3 linked regions of the Callithrix jacchus genome follow. The protein of the gene in region 3 purifies or fractionates together with the protein of the main gene of each other region. This does not show direct contact. Links are inferred from orthologs where the notes say so. Each region holds a gene or a part of one and is shown on either strand. Other genes may lie near its edges.

The links. The genes of interacting proteins can lie anywhere in the genome.
Region 1: the proteins of TNFAIP3 (region 3) and BIRC2 purify together in Homo sapiens (affinity purification with mass spectrometry; 5 studies listed by BioGRID and IntAct, with this or other methods). This does not show direct contact. The link is inferred for Callithrix jacchus from reciprocal best matches to the Homo sapiens genes TNFAIP3 and BIRC2.
Region 2: the proteins of TNFAIP3 (region 3) and RNF11 purify together in Homo sapiens (affinity purification with western blotting; 3 studies listed by BioGRID and IntAct, with this or other methods). This does not show direct contact. The link is inferred for Callithrix jacchus from reciprocal best matches to the Homo sapiens genes TNFAIP3 and RNF11.

The regions. Positions count from the first base shown.
Region 1 is NC_133511.1:2,410,891-2,413,396, reverse strand, and holds the end of BIRC2 (baculoviral IAP repeat-containing protein 2), read right to left. Parts: intron 2,144-2,506; coding exon 1,889-2,143; intron 1,619-1,888; coding exon 1,577-1,618; intron 1,475-1,576; coding exon 1,281-1,474; 3' UTR 516-1,280; downstream 1-515. UniProt on the Homo sapiens protein: Multi-functional protein which regulates not only caspases and apoptosis, but also modulates inflammatory signaling and immunity, mitogenic kinase signaling, and cell proliferation, as well as cell invasion and metastasis.
Region 2 is NC_133508.1:88,144,133-88,147,656, reverse strand, and holds part of RNF11 (RING finger protein 11), read right to left. Parts: intron 1,647-3,524; coding exon 1,477-1,646; intron 241-1,476; coding exon 69-240; 3' UTR 1-68. UniProt on the Homo sapiens protein: Essential component of a ubiquitin-editing protein complex, comprising also TNFAIP3, ITCH and TAX1BP1, that ensures the transient nature of inflammatory signaling pathways. Promotes the association of TNFAIP3 to RIPK1 after TNF stimulation.
Region 3 is NC_133505.1:144,655,651-144,659,069, reverse strand, and holds part of TNFAIP3 (tumor necrosis factor alpha-induced protein 3), read right to left. Parts: coding exon 3,336-3,419; intron 2,075-3,335; coding exon 1,155-2,074; intron 386-1,154; coding exon 204-385; intron 1-203. UniProt on the Homo sapiens protein: Ubiquitin-editing enzyme that contains both ubiquitin ligase and deubiquitinase activities.

The DNA of each region.
Region 1 (2,506 bases), on a different chromosome or scaffold from region 3:
TCACTAAAGAACTTTTAGTTTGATTCCTCGAGGGAGCTAATTATCCCGTCAGCTATCATAGGCCAGAATGAAAGGCAGAGAAAAGTTAACAATGTTTTAACATTGTTCTGAGTCAACTGAATTTGGGGAAAAAAGAATTCCCTCTCTAATGGCTGGGAGAGCATTTCTCTCATGAGGCCTTGAACCTAGGTATATATGCATTTGGACTTACATACATGCATCAGCACATCAGGATAGAAACAAAAGCAAGAGAAGAGGCTGGAGGATACAGAAATTCTCACTCACTCTTCCCGTGTGTTCTCTAAAGGAATCTAAAAGAGCTGTGATGTGAGAAGAAAAACGGAGAGTTTTTAATATTAGACCTCCTTATCCACCTGGCTTCAGAAGTCTGCCAGAGCCAAATCTAAGAAAGGTCAAATATGACTGGACCCAGAAAGGAGGTACTTACCATTCATTGCCTTTATGCCACCTCCTCGCCCCATCAACACTTATGCAACAAAGCAATTACACAAATGTCTGAAAACAACAACTATTTATCTAATTTATTAAGAGTTTTTCAAAATTAATGTTGGATTCGTTTTTCATCCAACATTGTATCTGTAACATACAAAGCAACAAGAAACTGTCATCTAAAGAAATTTCCCAAATAACATTATTTTTAAATACTTGTTAATAATTTCTCATGAATGCAATTATTTACTTAATAGTTGGCATTTGAGTACAATGAAGACACATGAAAATTACTTTTTAAATCAGGACAAAAAAATATTCTGGTAACAATCGTTTTAAAGCACTTTACTGAGATGTTTCTCACAAACTAAGGGGAGAAATAAGAGAAAAATCCTTATTTTAAAACACAAGTGAAAAGCACCGAAGACAATTTGGCACCGTAACTCTGATGAACTCCAGAGCTCCCGGTTTCCAGTTATTTTAATCTACACTGTAATCTAGTATTCAGAGCTTTCTGAAAGAATACCAAATCCAGTAATTCCCTAAATGATATATAACAAGCCGTGACACTAACTCCCTTAACTCCTCTTATGTCCACACATACACACTAATATAGTTCACCAAACATAAATCTTCCCTTGTAAATAAACAGATTAAGATTAAATATGATATTACCTTTTAGAAACAAGATTATTAGTACCAAAGCAGACTAAAACATGAATGTTACTAATTGAAAAACTAATAATTCCCTTTTTGCTTCAGATGGCTTCAAGTGTTCAACAATATTTTAGAGACTTTTTTATACAGGTTAAAATATAGCCTATTTTTCTCTAAGAGAGAAAAGTACGAACAGTACCCTTGATTATACCCCTGCAAATAGGGCATTTTCTTAGAGAAGGGGCACATTCCTGGCATACTACCAGATGACCACAAGGAATAAATACAATAGAAACTTCTTTGTCCATACACACTTTACAAGTTCTTTCTTCTTGCAGCCTCCTCAATTGTTCTTCCAGTGGCAGACCTAGTAACAAAAAATAACATTAGTGAAACTGTTTCCACTTCATTTCCCATTAAAAAAAAAATAAGGGTAATAGTTTTTGTTGGTTTTAAATCTTTGTTTTACCTGAAACATCTTCTGTTGGAATATACTTCATATTCTTATCCACTGAGGAAAGAAAACATATAAAAAGCATCACTCTACTAACACAAAACTGCTTCACCTACTACCTCTTTTTTTCACCTATTTATGAAATGATGTAGATCGTAGCTATGTATCATCAGAACTGTTACATTTAGGCATACTACTTGGGAAAGAAAAGGCCGCTTTTTGGGAACAAGTGAAATACAGACCGTTGCTAATTGGATTTATTTGCTTGTCAAACAGAGATGAACATAGTCCTAAGAATTTCTAAAATAATTCTCCCAACAAACTCACCAAATAAGTTCTTATACAACGTAGAGTCAATTTCTTTTAGACAGTGTTTGAAGATGTTGGCTGCAGCATTTCCTTTAACCAAAATGGTATCAATCAGTTCTCTTGCTTGTAAAGGAATCTGTGTTTTTTGTTTAATAATATCATGTTCCTGTTTATTAATTACATTGGCCTTTAAAAGATTATCCAGGATAGGAAGCACACACGTCAACTGTTGAAAGAGAGCCATTCTATTCTTCCGAATTAATGACAAATCATCTTCATTAAAAAAAGAAAAAGAAATCCATTAAACTCCTTTAACTACACTTATATAGTCAGTAATAACCAAATCTACAAATAATTTAGGCACTAAATAAGTTCAAAAAACAAAGTAACTTGTTTGCATTTTAAAGTTTGTTGTTTTGGAAAACTTCCAGAGAAGTATGTTTCTGTAACTTTTAAGTCTATATAGTCACATGTCCTAGAATTCCACTTTTACTTTTGTTTGTTGAAAGACATTTTTCAAAGATAGTAAAAATTTCCCCCCTATATAATACTGACTTATATTTCCATTGAATTACTTTACTTTTGTAAGTACTTTCATAGTAATTTGTCTCATTTGATACAGCAATCCTGTCAATT
Region 2 (3,524 bases), on a different chromosome or scaffold from region 3:
GCTCAGTGACAAAAGATCAAAACCACCAAAAATGATGGTTCACTTGAAGTCAGATGAGAGACCCTGGCTCAATTAGTCTCATAGGATGAAAGCAGTGCTGCATCAACTGGCTCCATGCAGGAGGGGCACGTGAAGGATCTCATCAACCAGTCATCTATACAGTCCAGGTGATAGATGTGCATGCACGGCAGAAATCGAATTGGGTCCCCATAAACAAAGTCCATCATACAGATCACACACCTGTTGGGAGCAATGGAGAGAAATCAGAAGGCATTTTCAGAAGTGTCCTATTCAGAAAACGCTTTAAATCCCATTAAAAACAGTGTTAATCTGAATAACACAGCTGAAAGCTTTGCCTGTCATCTTATCACCAAAGCATGCAAACTGATTTTTTTCCTACTATTGATCTATTCAGTCTCTTATTTCAATCCCTGAGAATTTGCAGGACTTAGGAGCAATCAACAGAGCAAAGGGAAATGGATTCCATATGGATCACATCTACTGGTGTGCTTGTTAAACAGCTACATATTATAGTAGAAGGAGAATGGGATTACTTTATAGGTAGAAAAGCATCAGTTAGATCAACTTTGTTTCCTTGTACTATTTAGTGTAATTCTAGAGAAAGATAATTTTCATTTTAATAACTACCTGTAAAAACAGAAACACTAACTTCAGCCTACTTACTGGGTTGCTGTAAGTTAAAGCTCTCTTCATTAACTTTCCTTTTTTTGAGATGGAGTCTTGCTCTGTCACCCAGGCTGTAGTGCAGTAGCGCAATCTCGGCTCATTGCAACCTCTGCCTCCTGGGTTCAAGCAATTCTCCTGCCTCAGCCTTCCTGGCTCTTTGGGCTCAGTGACAAAAGATCAAAACCACCAAAAATGATGGTTCACTTGAAGTCAGATGAGAGACCCTGGCTCAATTAGTCTCATAGGATGAAAGCAGTGCTGCATCAACTGGCTCCATGCAGGAGGGGCACGTGAAGGATCTCACCTTGGTCTCCCAAAGTGCTGGGATTACAGGCGTAAGCCACCGTGCCCAGTTTTTTATTTATTTTATTTTTGAGAATTTCAAGTGATTCTCCTACCTCAGCCTCCCAAGTAGCTGGGATTATAGGCACAGGCCACCATGCCTGGCTAATTTTCATATTTTTAGTAGAGACGAGGTTTCACCATGTTGGCCAGGTTGGTCTCTAACTCCTGGCCTCAAGTGATCTGCCCACCTCAGCCACCCAAAGTGCTGGGATTATAGGTGTGAGCCACTGTACCCCGCCTGTGAAAACTCTTAATTATATTATAGCATTCTCTTGTTAGTAGCCAGTAATAAGAGCTATAAAAAAAAATTAAACATATCCTTGCATTAAGTGAAGTGTTTCAATATATTAAATGTCTTACTTTCTAAAGTGCAAGAGAAAACGCAAATTTTTTCAAAGCGAATTTCTGAAAATAAAACTTTGAAATGTACAAATTAAAACTTACTCTCGGATCTTTTTTTCTGATCCATCTCTTCCAGGGTCATAAACTCCTTTAGGCAGATGTTGTATAAGTCCTATTCTTTGAGCTATCCTAATTTGTTCCTCTTCAGTCAGCTGAGTTGCTAGCCGAGTCTGGCTAGGTGTTGGATGGTAGACTGGAACTGGAACTTGTTCCTAAAATACAAAAATAGAGGAAAAAGATTTTTAAGAGACCTTTTGTGGGTTTGTTTTTTATTTTTTGGTCAGAGACAGAAGGGAAAGGGAATCCTGGGAAGGGTAGGAAGCTGGGGTGATGTGCAGCGGTGTGACTATGTTTCACTCTGCCTTAACAAGAAAACATAAACACACCAAAACATTCACATTTAGTTATCTACCTAAAGGATATAAACACAGACTTCACTGAAGAACTGGCATGGAATGCTAACTGAACTATTTCCACCTAAGAGACCAGCCTGGGCAACATAGCAAGACCTCATCTCTAAAAATAATTTAAAAAATTTTTTTAATGGATTGGACTATGTCAAAAATAAATCTAAATGTTATCTAAGACCAACTCTCCCATTTTATATGACCAAGCTTGCCTACAGTCAAATAATTGTTAGTACTGGAATTAGAATTCTGTGGCTCCTAATCAGGTGAATTTTTTACACAAAACAATTTTGCTCAACGAAATCACGTTTATAACCCCCACTTTTTTGAGACAGGGTCTCCCTTTGTTGCCCAGACTTAAGTACAGTTGGAGATAAAAGAGGATGAGTTCATGTCCTTTGCAGGGACATGGATGAAGCTGGAAACCATTATTCTCAAAAAACTAACACAAGAATAGAAAACCAAACATCACATGTCCTCATCCTTAAGTGAGAGCTGAACAATGAGAACACATGGACACAAGGAGGGGAACATCACACACCAGGGCCTGGCAGAGGGCGGGGGACTAGAGGAGGGATAGCATTAGGAGAAATACCTAATGCAGATGATGGGATGATGGATGCAGCAAACCACCATGGCATGTGTATACCTATGTAACAAACGTGCACATTGTATACAGGAACGCTAGAACTTAAAAGTATAATAATAGTAACAATAAAGAGCTTCTTTGCCTTTAAAAACAAAAAAAGCACAGTGTCAGAAACACGATTTAATGTAAACTCAACCTCCTGGGATCAAGCAATCCACTAACCTCAGCCTCCTGAGTAGTGGAACCACAGGGGTGTGCCATAGGGCCTGGCCTGTAATGGTAATATTTAAAACTCAGCAATTCTGGTGGAATGAAGCTGGGATGGAGTGTGACCTACGAGGGATGAGACTCCCCATCCCTATCCCCTCACCTTGGTTACCTCTGCAGAATTCTCAGAATCAACAGAACAGTCTGAAAAACACTACTATCTTAGAAGGTGAGATTTTCAGTCTGAAGAATTAAATTACAAGATTTCAGTCTCAGCTCAGCCACTTACTATGGTTGCTTGAACCAAGTCTCTTAATGTCTTTGAATAAAGGAGATAACACCCACTTTTGAGAGTTGATACAGTCATGAGATAACTAAGAGCTTTGTAAATGCCAATATTTGTGAATTATTCTAACATCTCATCATGATGATTCTCCCCATCATGATTCTCTGCTTTGCTAAGTGCTACTGTCCTTGGCTTTTGTCCTGGTTTTCTGGATTCTCTTTGAATACTAGAAACTCTTGGCCTCTGCTGTGATCTCTACCAGCTGAGTTCTTCAACCCTTGAATCATCATTTCGAGTCTAGACTACCTTCCTGAAACTTAGCCCCAGTCCTATTTGACCAGTCTTGATGAGCTGTCATTCACACACAAACTGGGAACAAATTGCTTTACGACTGTGGATAATATAAAGGGTCTCTTAAATCCTTGAACCTAACAAAAAAAACTAAATTGTTTTAGAGCAAATAAACTCCAACTATGGGTTTTTCAAAGGCTAGATTTCTTCAGTCTTGTGGTTCACATACGTGTAGAGAACACAGAAAGCAGAACAGAAAAGGAAAGCTCTACGTTATGGGGAAACATTAATAAACATTAAAGAATAAAAT
Region 3 (3,419 bases):
GGCATGAAAATCAGTGGTAGCATTTCTGACCTGGGGGGCCACAGTGATGTGGACGTTTCCCTTCAGGTTCTGAACTAATCCTTTATCGTGAGGAGACAGAACCTGGCAGAGAGGACAGTCTGCTTGTCACTATTGGAAGAAAACGTTTCAACAAAAAGCAGCGAACACAAGGGAGGGAGGGGAAGCTCCTGAAAATGTCTCACCAGCTGCTCTTCTGTCCTTTTGGCCTCATGAAATCTCTGATTCTGAGCTTCGATGAAACACTTCTGGCAGTATCCTTCAAACATGGTGCTTCCGAGGGTGCCGCATTCCCTCCCCAGGCACGGAACGGTGTTCTGGAACCTGGAGGCTGTGGGACTGGCTTTCCCTGAGGCAGCGGCAAAATCTACAGGAGAGTGGATCCTAATTAGTACCACACAGGGGTCCCCCAGATAGAGAGGTGCTGACATCAGAGAAATAAACGGGTGCCAAATACAGATTAGGCCAGCCTTAAATATCTATCTAGCTATCTAACTAGCTGGCTATATATATAAATATATAGCCAGCTAGCTATGTCCATCTATCTACTTACCTACTTAAATATACATATATTTAAATGTATCAATTCAGAAGAAATAACAGCATTATTATGGAAACATCTTTGGCTTTACAAATCTCTCATTTTGAACTTGGAGCACTGATTGGTCACAGGAGCAGGGCAAAGAGCAGGCATTACCTGGTCACCCTTCTTTTGAATTAGAGATTTCCAAAACCACGACTGTTCCCTTACGGTGTCAATAGACACCTTCCTTCTCTCCAGTTACTACTCTTCATATTTTAAGACTGTTCTATTATACCCAAGTTGCAAAAGAAGTTAAGTTTAAACTTAGACTATCTTAGATATCCCAGACTTGAATGGTCTAATAAAAGCAAATCCCATGAGCTCTGTCTACAGGGCGCTCTGGTTTTTGGAATGTGATATTAGGAGCTGCTGCAATCAGGCAGTGCCTTTTGCCTCCATGGGCGGGGTCCCATGCACAAGCCAGTAGAACAGCAAGGTAGGTTCTGACCATTCTGCCTGACTGCCCGCACTAGATTTTTTTCCCTTAAAGTTCAGGAACAAAACCCCTTCTTGACAGTAGCTACTATGTTAAGAAATCAACCATTTTACTCACATTTGTTTTCCCTGTACTCGATGAAACACAGGGTGCAAAAGCCCTTGTTTTCTGGAGTCCCAAAATACATGCAGCCAGCTTTTCTGCACTTGCTCGTCCCCGCCCTGTCCCCCGGAGTCCGTGCAGCTTGAGACAGGCAGCCAGCGGGGACGTCGTTTCCAGCTCTATGACGAGAATGTGGGGAGGGGCTCCGGACGAGCTGCGAGGGATCTGACTTGGAGCGCTGGTGACAGGAGGGAGGGAGGCTGGTGCTGAGGCTGGAGGAGGCCTCCGTCGTAGTCCTTTTGAAGCAAGTACTGCAGATCCCATTAAATGTCCTGGTAACGTCCTGGAGGCAGGCTTGGCACTTCCCGGGATCCAAGTGCCTGGTGTGGTCTGCGGCGTGGCTGGCGCGAAGTTGCCGGGCGTTGTGGCAACGTTCACAAAATCCATTGTGCTGCACGTTCAGTGTGAAGGGGCAGCCGGGGCTCCTGCACTTCATGGCAGTGGTCTCGCTGAACAAAAAGGGGCTAGGTGCTGTCGGTGGGGCTGAATGAGGCCCCCCAGCCGGCTCCTCGGGGTTCCACACCAAGGGCTCATAGGCTTCTCCCCGAGAGGCCCCGAGTGCCATGCCAGGGAGCACCTCAGGGCCCGGCTTGGAGTTCAGCTTTGGGAGTTTGTTTTGATTCTTTTGCCGCCTCTCTGAGCACTCATGGCATAATGGCTGGGTGTTCACAGACATGAAGAAGGGGCAGTTGGGCGTTTCACATTTTACATCCATGAGAGAAAGCTGGGGCATTGAAGGTTCCATGGGATTCTGGGCAAGCAGCTCCCTCCTCCCCTGCTCGCTGTTTTCCTGCCATTTCTTGTACTCATGCTGAACAAGTTCAAAGTAATCATCTACCAGATTGATTTCTTTGGGTAAATTAGCTTCATCCAACCTGAAGGCCAAAAGGAAAAAATATGTTTGAGATGAAACAAAATCACACACAAAGTTTTACATCATTTAGCCCATAGGACAAAGTTTTAGAATGTGGATTACGGCAAGAATCGTAGAACCATTCATTGAAATGCAGGCCTGTGATGAAGAGCTCACACTTTTCACATAACATGATCTGACACATTTTCTAGAGTCAAGAATGATGTCAGGTAGTTTGCTAAGACTTCCTTATTTTTAAAAATCACAGTTTCATTTAATCAATCTTGGTCCATCCAAAATTATAGATAGTTCTAAAACAAGGGCTAAGAAAATATCAGTTTACTTTCTAATTTCTCAGAGATCAAATTCTGAGTAAAACATGACTCAGGCTATTCGTCTGGGGACTAGTCTATTTTATAGTATTAACTACTTTGAAACTTTTTAGGTTGGGTATTTTGCTGTTACTAACTTTAATCCTGTGTCTGGTCTTCACCAGCATGAGCCGCCATGAGTAACTAAGACGCAGACACACTCAAAGGCACTGTCTGTTTACTGTTGACTCTAATTCGCTAATCTCCACTTTGAGAGACAGATGTCCTTCACGTGCTCAGAAACAGGCATCTCTTCCACATAAAGCCAATGTTTAAAGACCGGATACCTACACAATGGGCATTCTGGGGCTTTCCTCCCATTTCCACATGGCAGAATCATGAGCTGCAACTTAAACAACTTACAGTCCCTTCTATGTCTGATGTGCCCATTCTTACCAAGCAGCCAAGACAGAAAGGCTTTTGTTTCCAAGTGTTTTCACTTGCTAGTCTTTTTAATAAGTACTGGAGTAATTAAAATACAAACACACAAAACAACTATCCTAGATGTGTAAATGCACTTTAAAAACTCATAATTCTGCAATGGCACATCAGAAAAGCCAGCTTAGACAGATAGGTGTGTCGCCTGTTCACAGAATGGTAGGGAAGCTATCTAAGTAAGAACAGTGGTTATTGGTCCCAACAGAAGAGAGCCAGGGGACATATCTGGACTTTCAGGGTCCAGATATATAGGAAAATCATTATGGATAAATTACTTGTTTCGATTTGAAACAAGTTAGTAGTACCTTAGATAATCCTCTCTAACCATGCACAAGACTCTGAATTTGTTTCCCATTGGCAGAAACTGGCTGCAAATCACTCTACCATTGAGCTTCAGGGTGGCAGCAGCTCATGTGGCTGCGGTTGAAGATAGTTACAGATGACACAGGAGAGAGCTGAACATAAACTGCTTACTTTGCAGCATTAATGAGATGAGTTGTGCCATGGTCCCAGCCTTGGACGGGGATTTCTATCACCATCAAGTACTCTTTTAAGAGC